2 linked regions of the Cricetulus griseus genome follow. The protein of the gene in region 1 purifies or fractionates together with the protein of each later gene. This does not show direct contact. Links are inferred from orthologs where the notes say so. Each region holds a gene or a part of one and is shown in the gene's direction. Other genes may lie near its edges.

What was found. The genes of interacting proteins can lie anywhere in the genome.
Region 2: the proteins of Retreg1 (region 1) and Gabarapl1 purify together in Homo sapiens (affinity purification with western blotting; 3 studies listed by BioGRID and IntAct, with this or other methods). This does not show direct contact. The link is inferred for Cricetulus griseus from reciprocal best matches to the Homo sapiens genes RETREG1 and GABARAPL1.

What each region holds. Positions count from the first base shown.
Region 1 is NC_048595.1:356,640,976-356,648,597, forward strand, and holds the start of Retreg1 (reticulophagy regulator 1), read left to right. Parts: upstream 1-3,569; 5' UTR 3,570-3,740; coding exon 3,741-4,036; intron 4,037-7,622. UniProt on the Homo sapiens protein: Endoplasmic reticulum (ER)-anchored autophagy regulator which mediates ER delivery into lysosomes through sequestration into autophagosomes.
Region 2 is NC_048601.1:16,531,693-16,539,155, reverse strand, and holds the start of Gabarapl1 (gamma-aminobutyric acid receptor-associated protein-like 1), read left to right. Parts: upstream 1-2,926; 5' UTR 2,927-3,195; coding exon 3,196-3,285; intron 3,286-6,970; coding exon 6,971-7,049; intron 7,050-7,463. UniProt on the Homo sapiens protein: Ubiquitin-like modifier that increases cell-surface expression of kappa-type opioid receptor through facilitating anterograde intracellular trafficking of the receptor. Involved in formation of autophagosomal vacuoles.

The sequences.
Region 1 (7,622 bases):
TCAGAGTTAGGGGTGCCTTTCCTAATTGGCACAGTCACTGTACACACACTCAGTGATCCCAAGAAAGACATCAAGGTACTCGGGCAAGCCTTTGTGTTGCTATGCTCATATGATCTGCAGATATGACCTCTTCTAGGACAGAAAAGAAAATATGATCCCTCTTTGCCATCAGAAGCGCTATCCAAACTGAGCATCCCAGCAGGTATGTGAGGGACCAGCATGCAATGTACGTTTGTTTGCGGTAAGCACCTATTTTAGGGAATGCTGCTCAGACGGACACATCTGGCTGGGATAGACTTGTTTTACAAGCACCACAGACATTCAGCTGACACGGAAAGAGAATTAATTACTTTTGTGATACCAACTAGGAAATAGACCAGGGGAGGATGTAAGGTGGGGTCAGATCTCCTTTTCTGTTGTTACTGTTATGTGATGTCCTTATTGATCTGTGCTTAGAGTGAGCTATTGGGGGGTCTTGGTTCAGTGACTAAAATGTCCAGAAAGATAGGAATAAGGAAGAGAAGGCATGGTAAGAAGATAGGGCTAGAAATGCTTGAAAAATGTTAACTCACAAAAGTTCTGTCTGCAGGAGTGATGGCACATATAACATGCATAGTGACTCCTTTTCCTTGAGAACCCTGGACTCACGGCAGGAATCCAAAGGGAAAGTGGGAAAAAACAGTCTGGCTGGTGTGTTTCTAGCTCTTCTGAAGCTCAGCTTGATTTCTGCCCAATGAGACTCTGTACCCAGGAGTTAATTATTTATTCTTTTTCTTTTGTGTTAGAATTTTCTACCTTCTCCTGTGTGCTTTGTGCCAGCCTTTTCAAGAGTGGTTCTTTTTCCACCCAGTAGTTACAATTTTTTCTCCCTCTGATTTTTTGGGGATTACCTTTCGAGCTTCCTTGCCCTCTTCATTATATATATATTATATATATATATATATATATATATATATATATATATATCTCATTCATGACCCTGTTTCCAATAAACACCAAGGACAAATTCAAAAAGGAATCTTAAATAGTACTGAAGGCACTGGACTTATTTTTAATTATTTATTTTGAGATTTTGAGTCGGGGGGTCTCCCTGTGTAGCTTCAGCTGGACCAGAGCTTGATATGTAGACCAGGTTGGCCTTGAACTCACAGATATCAGCCTGCTCCTGTTACTGCCTCTGCCTCACCAGTGCTTGGATTAAAGCCTTGCTCCACCACCCCTGCACCACAGTGCTTTTAAACATCAAAGCTATTACAGGTAGGGAACAAGACTTATTGCCTCTATTCAGCAATAGTTTCCTATGCTTGGAGTGAATACATTACTCAGGCATCACAAAGATAATTAGGTAAAGAAAAACTACCCAGTAGTACTGTTGTATGTATCTACCGTAGTGTTGACTCCTATCCTACAAGTTTTCAGGATTTATTAGAGGTCAGAGGCAAAGAAGATAGAATGATCGAAGTCAGTCCAGTCTTTACCACAACACCATCTGAGCAGCTTTTTCTCCATAGTTATTTGAGAGGGGTGAGAACGCCAATCAGAAGGCAGAGCTGCTGGGAAGATTTATCATAAAGGGAGAGAATGAAGACTGCAAAGTGCACACAGCAGCCAGAGCTTTTGGTGACTTCATTGCCAGCAGCTTTTACTGCATCCACAAATCCTGACGACAATAATTAGAATTTAGAGGGAGGAGGAATGTGAAGAATCTTGTAAACTTGTCTCTGAAAGCTTATTGACACTGGGTTTGGATGGCAGGGATACCGGTTCTTACTGGTTCTGGAATCCCAATGCCCTGGATTCTCAGTGCAAATCTCCATTGAGTGTTAAACAGAAACCAAATTATACCCCAAAGCATCTTTATCTCCCCAAAGTTCCTCAACCAAGGGCAAGGAAATCTCACACTGGACCAAGTCTCGTGTGTGTGTGTGTGTGTGTGTGTGTGTGTGTGTGTGTGTGTGTGTGTGTGTATGTGTGTGTGTGTGGTGTGGGAGTGTTGTGATTGAATCATTTCCACACTGCTTTTTCATTACTTCCAGGGCCTCTTTCTATGGAGGTGTCACCTGAGTACCCCTAAAAAAAGCAAGTTGAAATGACAAAGGGTTGCAAACTGCCTTCAGCTAAAAAACAAAAACAAAAAAACATTGTCACTTGAGGAATAACTGAAGGTCCTCAGAGAATACAATGCCTGATTTCTATCTGCAACTCATCCAGGCCTTCTTCCACGCTAACCTCCCAACAGGAAGCACAGCTCCCTCTGCCACCCATCCCCCATCTCTCTGGGTTTTACAAGTGAGGGCAGATGCCATCACATCCCAAACCCTTCCGAAACTTGACTTTGGATGCAATTTAAACGAGGACTCATGTCACTGAGGGTTTCCATCACTGCATTTATCAATTATAAGTGGTGCCTTTTGGATTGTGAGCCTTCTGCAGGTGGAAGCCACACCCACAGGGCCTAGTAATGCACCAAGCACATAGTAGGTGGTCAACAAACCTGTCTGTGAACCCTAGGCATGTGCTCCCTTCAACTACAACACACATTCAGGTAACTGTCCACATCTAGTCTATAATGCATAGATGTTTGCATACATAGACACAGAGGTTTATATTGGCCATCTAGATGGACATTACAAACTTTAACCCAGGGGCTCCTTTGAGGCAACGGTTTTCCAGTGCTTTGGGAATGAACCACTTCATCGGTGAAAGTAGGCTGGATACAGACGATGGCCCTGATGCATCAATTCTCAGGACTGAAGGATGGGTACTCTATTCTGGAGGAACAAACGGAGACTGGACATTCACAGCCATTCCTTCCTCTCTCCCACATTCAACCAGGAGAACCACATTGGGGGGGCAATATTCTCCACCTCTGCCCTGAGGTCCCCTTGTGATATGGAGAACACAGCCAATCAAGCAGCAATCTCCGAAGCTTGGGACAGTAGCAGAGTAGGGTCACAGGCGGCCATCCTCTGGCTTCTCTGCTCCCCAACACTGCAAAAAGCAACTCTCACTACAGAGCCAAAAAACAGCTCACTTAACCAAGAGTCTTTACCTGTTTGCACTGCGGCCTGTCTGGTCCTCACTCCTAAAATCAGTGGGCCAAACCAGAGGCCCTTCCTTGACCCCAAATGTGCTTTTCTTCCTTTCCCAGGTCAGCGTTTGTATCTGACACAGTTGGGCAGGGCGTCCCTGTAAGGGACCTGGACAGGGGCGTGATGAGTCCTGAGTGCTGAAATTAACGGCCCGGGAGCATCCGGACATTTTCTTCAATACTGAAGGATGGAAGACTGGTGGCTGTGGCTGGACAAAGTGAGACTGTCCCCTCCTCGCCCCTTTAAAATCCAAACCCCAGACTTCCTTTGAGAGGAGTCCTCTCTACCTGGCCTACTCAGCTGGAAGGGAAAAGGAAGGATTTTCCTCTGGTCCCCAGCTACCCACGGACGCCGCCCAGCTCGCATCCACCGAGCGAGCGAGCGAGCGGAGCCAGGCCCAGGGCGGCCCCGCCCCTGCGCGAACTTGACCGCACCCTCTTCCCCCGCGCGGCCGGGCCTGACGTCACAAGGCACCCAGCTGCCGGCGCCCCACGGTGCGAACCCCGAACCCTGAGCGGTCGCCGCTGCTTTCCGGGCGCTCACCGCCAGGCGCGCGCGCCCGCCCGCCCGCGCCCCTCCCCGTCCCCATCCCCGTCCCCGTCCCCGTCCCCGTCCCCGTCCCCGCCAGCCAGCCAAGCACCGCTGAAGATGGCGAGCCCGGCGCCCGGGGAGCACGCCGCGCAAAGATGCCCAGCCCCGGCTGCGGAGGAACCGGCGCCGAGGCCCGGGGTTCCCGGGGAGGAGGCTGGACCCGAGGCAGGGCCGGAGGGCGCGGGGCCGCAGGTGAAGGAGGAGGAGGAGGCCGCGGACAAGGTGGCCGCCGCCCTGACCTGGCTGCTCGGGGAGCCGGTGCTGTGGCTGGGATGTCGCGCGGACGAGCTCCTGAGCTGGAAGAGGCCGCTGCGCAGCCTGCTCGCCTTCCTGGGTGCCAACCTGCTGTTCTGGTGAGCTCTGGGGCTGGGTGGGGGCGCCCCGGAGGGCAGGTGACCTTGGGGCGCCCGGGGCCGGATGTGCCTGGCCAGGGTGAGCTGGGCGCTGCGGTGGAAGTGACAGCCCCGTCCCACTTGCTTGGTCACCTGTCTGAAAACAGGTAGTCAAGCAAGAGCTTCAACTTTCCTCCAGACGCACTTCCCTGTGAGTGGCTGTCACCTTTGCTGCAGATGTCCACCCTCCAAGGGGAGGTGATGGTCTGATGACCCACGTGTTCCTGTGTCGAGGGATGTCCCAGAGCTCTTGAAAACTTCGGCCCTGGTATTGCCAACTCGCAGGTCTTGACCTGTACTTACAAGCATGGTGGTACATGGGCGCTTGGGCATGAATTGATGTTTGCACCCACAGAGGCGTATCTGGATCAGTTTAGGTACAGTATCAAAACTGCTGCCCTTCATCAGCCACCGGAGATGGGCAGTGAATGGTTTGTTTTTCCTTCCCCTGGAGGGTAGGGTTTACAGGTTTTGCTCCCAGATGAGAAAGCAGGAGGTAAACAAACAGGTGGATTAGGCACATCGCCCCGCCCCTCCCCAGTTGCACAGCGTGGTGTGTGTGTGTGTGTGTGTGTGGGTGGGTGGAGGGCAGGCAGTAGTAATTTCAGGCGAACTCCAGAGGGAATAGGCAGGAATGTGTTTTGAATAGCCCCCAATCAACAGGTTTGTCTCACCAGAAAGTGTTCTGCCTAGGTAAGCACCAGGCAATATCTGGCTCCATCCCCGAAGGATTTTGTGCCCTGTCATGTGGTACTAGTGCTCTGAGGGCAGAGAAAAACCTTATTTGCCAATTGTCTTCGTAACAAACACGACCCTCGCAGTGCAGAACAAGCAGTTTCACTAACAGATACCTATTTACAGGACATAGATTTCTTAACCCCAAAGTTGAGAAATAAATGCACAAGAGAGACAGACATAGCCTGTCATTTTCCTAGATTAACTTGGGCAGCATGAAGGATTTTCTTTAGATCTCAGCTTGCCTAGGTTTACTCTGAAAACGAGCTGTGTCTTGTTTCTGTCTGCGGATGTTAATTAACTTTGGGTCTCTCAGCTATTGCTATTTCTGGAGTTTATCCCAACTCTCTATCCTGTTGTAAGGTTACCTGAGCCCTTAAATAAATAGGTTATATCATGTTGAGCTAGGCTGGGGCAGGAAACCAAGTCTGAGGGCTGGCTTTGTCTCACGTATTTACCAACAAGCAGCATGTTTTAAATCTTATCTATCTAAAGACACCAAATTCTTTAAGTTTGAAGGTACAAAACTAAACACTTTGAAAATCTCTTCCCTTTGAAAATCTCATTCCCACGCCCATTCCCCAGTTTATCAGCTTCCTCCCAGAGGCCACTGGGGCTGTTAGCTCTCTGTCTGTTTCAGCAGAAGCACTGTGTTCTGTGCACACTGTGGGCTAGAATAGTAAGGATTCCTCATGTAAGCGTGGGTGCCTGTTGGTCACTTCCTAGTTTTTTTCAATGCATAGAATTACTTGGTAAGAGGTCTCAGAGTATTGAACCTTTTAAGGAGGCTCAGGCAGAGTTCCCAGCGCTTGAATTTTTAGTGTGATAGCTGAGTCTTGTATGTGTAGCATTTGGCGTGTATAAAAAAACATTTTAAAGGATGATTCCCACAAGTAAAACACTGTTGGGTCAGAGGGCATGTGCCCTTGTCTGTCATTTCAATGGCTGTTAACTGTATTGTCATTGGGGTTCTACCAGCTTATTTGCCCATCATCAGTGAGTGTGACTGCTTGCAAGGCTAGACGTTTGCCAAGATTTTTGAAAAACATTTTAATCTTGTAAGTCTACTAGGTGGAAAGGGTACTTTGGTATGGTTTTAAATTTGTGTTTGTCTGAGACTGAATGTTTTCCTTGTGCTCAAGGCCACTGTGATTATCTTTTCTCTGCAGTGCCCATTTAACTCTAACAAATCTTGTCTGTTTCTTCACTTTAGACCCTGATCTTCTTATTGACTTACTAAAGCTCTTTTTATAGGATGGATTTTAGCATAATTAATGTAATGAGTTGCAAATATTTTTCCTATGATGTATTCTTGTGTGTGTGTGTGTGTGTGTGTGGGTTGTGTGGGAGTTTGTGTGTGTCGCTGGTCCACATCTATGTGTGTGCATGTAGTACAGGCCAGTGGCTCTCTTAAATTGTTCTCCCTTAGTTTTTTGCAACAAGGTCTCTCACTAAACCTAGAGTTCATCAATACAGCTGGTCAATGAGCCTCAGGGATCTGCCTATCTCTCGATTTCTGTGCTGGAGTTACAGATACATGCCATCACTCCTGGCTTTCAGGTAGTGCTAGGGAACTGAATTTAGGTGTTTATGCTATGTGGCAGCCACATTCCTGACTGAGCCACCTCTCCAGTCTCCCTATGACATATTCTTTAAGAACAACTGTTGGAACTATTTTTTGTATAGATAATTAGAAAGTATATTTGATATTTTCCATATGTGTATTGTGTCCCATCCATTTTATTTACCACTCTGATGGAAAGATAGATAGTGGGCAGACATTGAACCTTGTTAGGATCTTATTTGCTCTGTTTTTCCTGTTTGCAGTGGCTGGATTCCATGCATGCATTTCCTCTGACAGACAGCCATCCTTCTCTGAATTCTGAAGCACTTGTTGCTTTTGTGTTATAATTTACCAGACTTTATGACTGCTTTATTAATGCCAGAACTTTTTTTAAAATCTTCTTTATTTCTTCCTCGTGTTAAAATATGCTTTTATAGTTTAAAAGCAAAAAAAAAAAAAAGCCAGTTTATTTCCTCTCAAATGATCTGGTCTTTATTTTCATTCCTCCTTTCTTTTCCTTTTTTTTTGTCTGAAAAGAAAAAACAAGTTACTACTCTGTTATCCAACTGGTCTCAAACTCATAACAATCCTCCTGCCTCACCTTCCTAAGTACTAACACTAAACATATGAGCCATCATTCCTGGTTGGCCTATGGCCTCATTTGGTTCTTAATATTCTGTGTCTTGGGAATGCTAAAGCTTTTATTTTCTATGAGAAAAAGAAGTCATTGTGTTAAAATATAATGGGCTATAGAATGACACCCTGTCTCAAAAAGAAACAAAAAAGAAAAATCCAAATCTTAGCATCCCCAGTGTCGTGCTTCATGTATCATTGCTGCTGGTCCATTCCTGTGGAAAATAACTTTGCACATTTGCAGTTTGCATAATTTAATATCTGGTACTAATAATTGCTTTCAGGATTTTGAATTTGACTCAGAAGTTTTGACATTGACCACCTGACTATGATCTGTAATACTGGTGTTGTGCACTGGAAAACCAGGAGTGAAATGGGCCATGGGGATTTGGATTATCTCCAGTCTGATCAAAGGACACACACATGGGAGATGAAACCACAGAGGTAGCATTCTCTAATCAGATACACATACATATTCTTATATATGACATACTTGTGAAAAAAATGCTGATGTGAAGAAATGCCAAAAATAGATCTTAAGTCATATCATGAAGTCTGATTAAATGTAGGCTGAATGTAATGCCAGACTCCAGAATCAAGGATTCTACAATGGAA
Region 2 (7,463 bases), on another chromosome or scaffold:
TACCTGGGGAGTGGTGGATGGGGTGGGGGTAGATTGGGGGTCGAGGAGGAGTGATGGGGGTGAGGGGAGGGAGAGGGAGAAGGGACTTACATGTGAAACAAGCTTGTTCCCTAACTTGAACTAATAAAAAAATTGAAAATATTTTCATATTAATATCAATAGGACCAAAGCAAAAATATTAAAAGACTGAAAGATAATAAAAGTGCTAAAAGGCACGGAAAGAAACCATGTCATGAATTTGTCACACCATTTTTATGATTTTCTAGGTACTCTTGGAAGTGTTTGAGTCTTTTATACTATGTTATTCACTTCTATCCTTAATACAATACTAGCATTTTCAGTGTGATGACACTTCTTGGTTACTAAAGTAGCTCTAATTATCTTCTCATGCCAAACTCTTGTGGAGGTGTTAGTTTTTATTTGAATCTTCTAATTTCCCCAGGTGAGCAAAGTAGGGAACAATTAACAATAGTTAACTGATTAAATATTAATCATTTCCTGGGGATTGTATTATAACATGACTTCTTTAATTCATATATAGTTGGCTATGCCCTATCAATTAGCACAAAGTCAGAAAGCCAGAGAATCAAGACTATTTAACTTCATTACCCTACTAGATTTTTCTTTAACCTAAGACTGTTAAAGATGAAGGACACACAGAATGTTTGTATGAAGAGAATATTACACAAATAAAATATACTTCTTGAAAAAATTGGAAAAAAAAGTTTCAACCTCATAAACATAAAAGCCAGAACAGTACAAGGAGCTTTTAGAATGGCTGCATGAGAAAATACATCTTTTTAACACTGCGTTTTGTCTGATTGAAGAAAGGGATTTTAAACTATTTTTATCTGTTTGAATGTTAAATTTATAAACATACCTCTCTACATTTTAAAGAGCCTTCTTAGACTAAATAGTAAAATTGTAGGAATAGATAAGTTTTGTATTTTTTAAGTGATTTTTGTTTTATTTGTGTGGGTGCTCTGCCTGCATATATGTATATGCACCATGAGCATGCAGTGCACAGCAGAGGCCAGAAGAGTGCACCATATCCTCTGGAAATGGAGCTACCACTCCTGAGTTGTTTACTTTGCTGGAATTCAAACCTTGATCCTCTTGTAGAGCAGCCCCTGCTCTTAACCATTGAACCATCTCTCCAGCTCCCAATACATTTTGTATTTTTACGTAAACTACTAGCATTTAGAAAACCCTCATCAATTATTAGCTAATATTGCATTTTTTATTTTTCATGCTATTAAATACATTGTCACTGGGCTGAAGAATTAACTGCCCTTCAATTAACTGAGATATACATATCTATAAAAGAACTGAAAGTCACTCAGAAAATAACAATATTACTATTTTAATCCCCGGGTTCATCTTACCTGATTGTAAAGTTTTCTTCTGAAAGATTTAATTGTATTTGAATCAAAGGTAAAATGATGAACGGGGCATTAAACTAGTTTCAAGTTGAAAATAAAGCCTGAAAATTATTAATATAAACATAATGATGTGATGCATTACCTCACTGATCTTTATATGTAGGGGCGATTCAAAGATTCCTGGAGAAAAACAAGAAAGTTGGCTATGCATTTCATTTTGTTTTGGTATTTAAGTTTTAAGTTTAGCTTATTTTATTTTCTGGGCTTTTTGTCTGTTTGGTTTTTGTTGTTGTTGTTTTTCGAGACAGGGTTTCTCTGTGGCTTTGGAGGCTGTCCTGGTACTAGCTCTTGTAGATAAAAGGCGTGCTCCACCAACTGCCTGGCTATTTTCTGGTCTTTTAAAGGCCAAGCCACTGAGAGTAATTTGAAAGGCAGAAGAAGAAGAAGAAGAAGAAGAAGAAGAAGAAGAAGAAGAAGAAGAAGAAGAAGAAGAAGAAGAAGAAGAAGAAGAAGAAGAAAGCCGGCAACAAGGGCTGCTTGGCTGCTTGGCTTTAGAAGTCATTCTATTTGCACAGCACAAAGCATCCTCGAACCCCTACCTTTACCATTTCTAATGCTCCCCAAATACAGGTCTGGAGAGTCACTGTCAGTAGGATCAGTATTCTGACCCAGCATCCAAAGATTCCCAGTAGGAAACCCGATATGCCAGAGGGACCTGGGCCATCCGACCCCGGCTGTGCGGCTTAGGGTCTTCCACTAGGGTGACAGCCAGAGCTTTTGGTTCCCATGAGGCCTTTTCATCAGGACAACTCTCCAGCAGATGGTACCAATTCCCCAGGAAAGTAATGTTGGTCGTCACCTAAACTGCTTGATCTCTGTATGTTTAAGAACCCAGGACCACACTTCTGGGTGAACAGGACAAAGTGAATGGAATCATCTCCCTTTCAAACGTGCATGAAGCCCGGTGTTCATGGCTGGCATCTCCTCTTCTAACCTTGATGACCTCATGCTTTTTCACCCTTACACCTCTGCAAAATCCCTGAGTCACGCACTGTTTATGTTGTCTCAGTACCAGCTCCAGCACAGATCCAAAGGAAAGGACGCCAGAGTAGGGAGGAGGAGCTGGGGTGGAGAAGCCAGGCCAGCCACGGGTGCCAGGCAAAGGTCAAAATGCAAGCACAGGACATTTCAGCGTGGGCTACAGATCTCGTGATGCCTGGCACTTTTCCACCACCAGACGCCTGATCCCATTGCTCTGGAAACAGCTGGATTTTCTTCCTGTGTGTTTGTTTTGGGCACCAAGCAAGAAACATGAAGGGGAGTGAAGAAGACATTTGTTAGAGCATTCTTGGGGTTAAAAGACATCTTTAATATCAAATCACAACAATAAAAGACAAGACACAGAGTTTTTATTTTCTAGAGTGATTTAGGAAAGCTTAAGCGTAATGGGCACACACACACAAATAATCGATGTTTCTGTCCACCCCCATCCAGCAGATCCTGCGCGCCGGGGGCGGGGTGGGGCGGGGCCTCGTGATGTCACAACACCGCCCTGGTGTTTTTGTGTTCCCAGCTCTTGGGAAAAGCCACCCGATTTCTTTACCTGGTGGTCCTTTACCTTCGGGCGGGGAGATCCCCAGGTCCCTCTCTTGGACGTCTGGCCACGTAGTGCGGTGACGGGCGTGTGGGGGCTGACGCGGGCGGAGCGATTGTGATAAGGTTGACATTGACCCGGGGGCGGCCAGAAGCGAGACGCAGTCACCAGCGCGCGCAGCAGGCCCCGTCCGGGGAGCCCCCCAACCTGCGGTCCATCATGAAGTTCCAGTATAAAGAGGACCATCCCTTCGAATATCGGAAAAAGGAAGGTGAAAAGATTAGGAAGAAATACCCGGACCGGGTGCCGGTGAGTGGGGGCGGGGAGGGGGAGAGCGAGCAGGGAAATTCGGGAGCCGGTTGCCCCGGAGCGCTGGAGGGTGGCCCTGGAGCAGGGGGGTCCCCGGAATCCCATAATCCTGGCCGGCTCTGACAAACCCATATTGCCAGGACCAGTGCCCACCTCTGGCATCCGGGGTGACTCAGCGGATTCAGCTCCCGCGGAGGTGGGGAATGTGCGCGTGGCGCGGCCTGTGTGTGCGGGAGCCGCTGCTTGGGGGCCCCAGATGGGACGCGCTTGTAGACCACGCAGCGCATCCCCGGAGTGGCAGGTGCGGTGGTGGTGAGCCTTGGGCCCATCCATGTCTGCCTAAAGAATCCGGGTTCCGTCCTCATTTCCTTGAGCGCATTGGGGGAAAAACTTGAGAAGTCAGTAGATTCTGCGCTGCGTTTTCTTAGAATTTAAGAGGCGGCGGCGGAGAACCCCCACCAGGCGGGCCCGCAAACAAGGTCACTCTGCGCCACAGTCAGCTTGCTTCATCATCATCACTGCCTCCCTGGCCATGTGGTGCTAAAGAGGACCTTGCCCTGCACTGCTGATGTGTTGGGCCTTGGACCCCAAGGGCGAGGACTGAGAACCTTTTCCTCCGCGAATTGTACCCCGATTTAAACGGCTAAAACCTATTTGATGCAGTGAGGAGAAAAATAATAAGGGAGTCTTCTTCAGCATCCGGGTGTTTTTCCCTTTGCCCCCCCTCCCCCCGCCCACTTGCCTGATTTTTTTTTTTTTTTCTTCTCTTTTAAAGGCTGCGCAGCAGAATTGGAAGCCGAGGACGACATTACTGTTAGATATGGTAGCTAGAGGAGAAGGGACTTTTAAAGTCGTTCTCTTTATCTGTACAGGCAATGATGTTAGATTAGCATTACTCATAGCTTTAATGGGTAAACGAGCCGGACTTACCTAATAATTTTTCTTGATGCATAAGTACTGTTCGTGGTGGTGGTGGTGGTGAGGGGGGGTTTCCTCGGTCCTCTCAGCTATGGCTAGCAGAAGAAATGTAGGCTCAACTGGGAAAAGTCCTCATCCCCATTTCCTGTTAGGAAGGGGAGAGTTAACTATTCCACTGTATGCACCAGGGTCTTTAGGGAAAGGCTGGAAACACGCTAGTCATTTCTTCTTAGCACGCAGTCCTGCACATATTACTTCCATGGAGGATTGTCTTGGATTTGTCACCCCCCCTTCATATTTTAAAATGACACATGGCCCACAGAGCTGGCAGCACTCTGAATGCCTTGTCTGCCTATTCACTGACTCGACTCACACCATTAAAATCTAGGTGCTACAGACATAAGCCTGCAGTACTGGGGAGTGAAGTCCCCACCCAAAGGTGGGGTCTGACAGTGCTAGCTGCCAGAGAGGGATTTCAGCCTGGCTGCCATGCTTTGGGCTTCCAGAGCCCTTGACCTTTAGGTTGTCCCCTTTCCCAGTTTGTGTAGTCCAGTTCGATTAACCAGAATTAAGTGTTACACCTTACATAGGTGAGTCCTGGAAGTAGGTTAAGTCTTGCTGCCATCTGGAGTTCAGCTGGTAGACCAGTGCCAGCCAGGAAACTTAAGTGAATGTCTACCCGTTACTCAGAACTTTAACAGAAACACAAGCTGCGGTGTCCGTCTTCAGATTCAGTTAAAACCTCTATAGTTTCTCAAATGAGCCTCTCTCATTCGCTTGGTTACAGCACTCACCCAGGATATTTTAGTTTCTCCTTATTCTTCTCCTGCTTATGACTTGATGTTGAATGTTTTATTTCAGTGATAATTTATAAGCTAAGAAAGATCACTGGGATCTCATGGATCCTCAACTTGAGAGATTCTCCACTTATGGCTCTTACCCTGTTTGTGACAGAAGAGCTCTGCTAAATGGCAGAGATTTGGGTTGGGGGCAGCATTGGGCATGGAGCCCTTTGCCCAGTGGTCCCTCTATCACTGGGTATACCCTTATCCTCAGCGATGTGGTTTTGTTTCAGCCTTGTAACCTGAGTTCCTGTACCTTGGGCACAGAACTGAATCTTACTATGTCCAGGTGTTTACAGGAAAGCCACTAAGTGTCTAAGGCAGTCTGACTCACAACTTAAGCTTAGCCTCAGAAGAGGTATGTGTGGGCCTTGGGAGAGGGGATCATGGGATCTTGAAATAACAGTGTGTTGGAAACCTGTAATAGCAGGAACTGCTGGACACACTATTTTTAAACATTTGTAAACAGCCCTATGGCGTATGAGCCACCTGCCACAGATGGAGAAAACAGTTTTCTCTATTCTTGGAGGAAGCTGCCAGGTCTCAGAGTCCCTGTGGTAAATACCAGGGCTCCCCCTGTTTCCTGTGCTCTGCCGTGTATAGCCTGCCTTTTCTCCTTACTTTTTTTTTTTTTTTGTCCATTACTAATCTCCTTTTCGAACTCTTTTCTACTTAATTTGAATGTTTGGATTCACCTCTGTCTACCCAGGCATTTACATGTATTTATTCATATGGTCTTTTGGGGGTGCTGCTTGTTCAGAAGCCCAGAGAGGTCACAGACATCCTGAAGGTCACACAGCTTCTAGGGAGACTTGTCCAGTGTCTGTTTCTGCTTCTTCACTTTTTGGTAGTTCCCATTTCTCATATCTAAGATGCGCTCTTCAAAACAAAGAATCTAATGTTAATATTCTTGCAATGTATTTTCTATTTTCTAAGTAAATATATAAACATCTACCTAAGAGTCCAGGCGGTGGTGGCACACGCTTTTAATCCCAGCACCTGGGAGGCAAAGACAATCAACTCTCAGTGAGTTCAAGACCAGCCTGGTCTACAGAGTGAGTTCCAGGACAGCCAGGACTGTTACACAGAGAAACCCTGTCTCAAAAAACAAACAAAAAATCCCAAGATTTTATGTGTATTTTTCATTACAAAAATGAAAATTCTTTAAAAATGTTACTAAAAATATTTAATGTAGATACTGAAAGTCCCTTAAAATCCTAACATAGTTAATAATGTTGAATAATTCAGTGCCCTCATAAAGTGCCATAGTTTTCACTTAGTGGTGAACACTTTTTTTTACAAAGATTGAAATCTGAGCCACATTGCCCGTGTTTATTAGCTGTCACTGTGGCAGTGTCTGAGACAGTCAACTTGAAGGCTGTGCACATGTGAGTGGCCGTGTGTGTGATTGTGTGCAGATATGCATGCATGTGGAGGAGACCAGACGTTGATGTCTGGTGTAATTCTTGGTTACTGTCCACATCACTCACTGTGAACCCAGAGCCTGCCAGTCCAGCCAGACAGTTTGGCCCAGGGATCTCCAGTCTCTGCCTTCCCAGCACTGGGATAAGTGGTGGGCCTACAGGTCCAACCTGGCATTTGCACAGATTTTAGGGATCTGAATTTAGTCATCACACTTTCACATATGGTGGTTTTACCACCGCGCCATCTCTCCAGTCCAAAAATGGTATTTTAGAGGAAAAAATAAAACTAATAGGTCATTAAGTTATCTTAGGAGCACAGAACAGCATTTTGATTCTTTAATAAAATACCATAAGGTAAGTGTCTCTTACTGTTCTTTATAAGGTAATTTGTAGTTGCATGAGATCAAGGAGCACTGGAAGCAAGGACTGGAAAATCACATTGAGCCTAGATGGTGTGGAAGGAAAAAGGCAGTTTTCATCCCCTCTCCTTTCTCCTTCTAGGTCATCGTGGAGAAGGCTCCTAAAGCCAGGGTCCCTGATCTGGACAAGAGAAAGTACCTTGTCCCTTCTGACCTCACTGGTAATGGTCTTTCCTTCTGGCCCTTCATTCCAGGCAAAGCAGTTTTGATCTGTATTTCACGTCTTAAGTTGGTGACCAAATGGGTTGTAACTACGCATGACTTCTTCAGGGAGCTGGCCAATGTGGCTAGGCACAGTCTGTCCTTCCATTTCCAATTCTGTGTGGTATTTCCCAGTACCTTACCCATGTGCCTTACTCATGGAGACACAGCAAAGCAGCACGCTGGAGTAAAGAAACAGTTGTCTGTAATTTACACCACGTTAAAACTCAGCCACGGTGATCCTGAGGTCGACTTGTTCCAAAGCCAGCACAGTGTTTTCGGAGGATCACGTTTCAGAGATTCATATCTAAATGCTTTATCTCTCAGTCGCGTTTCTGTTTGGGAGATTAAAAACTACAGACCCTAGCATATCT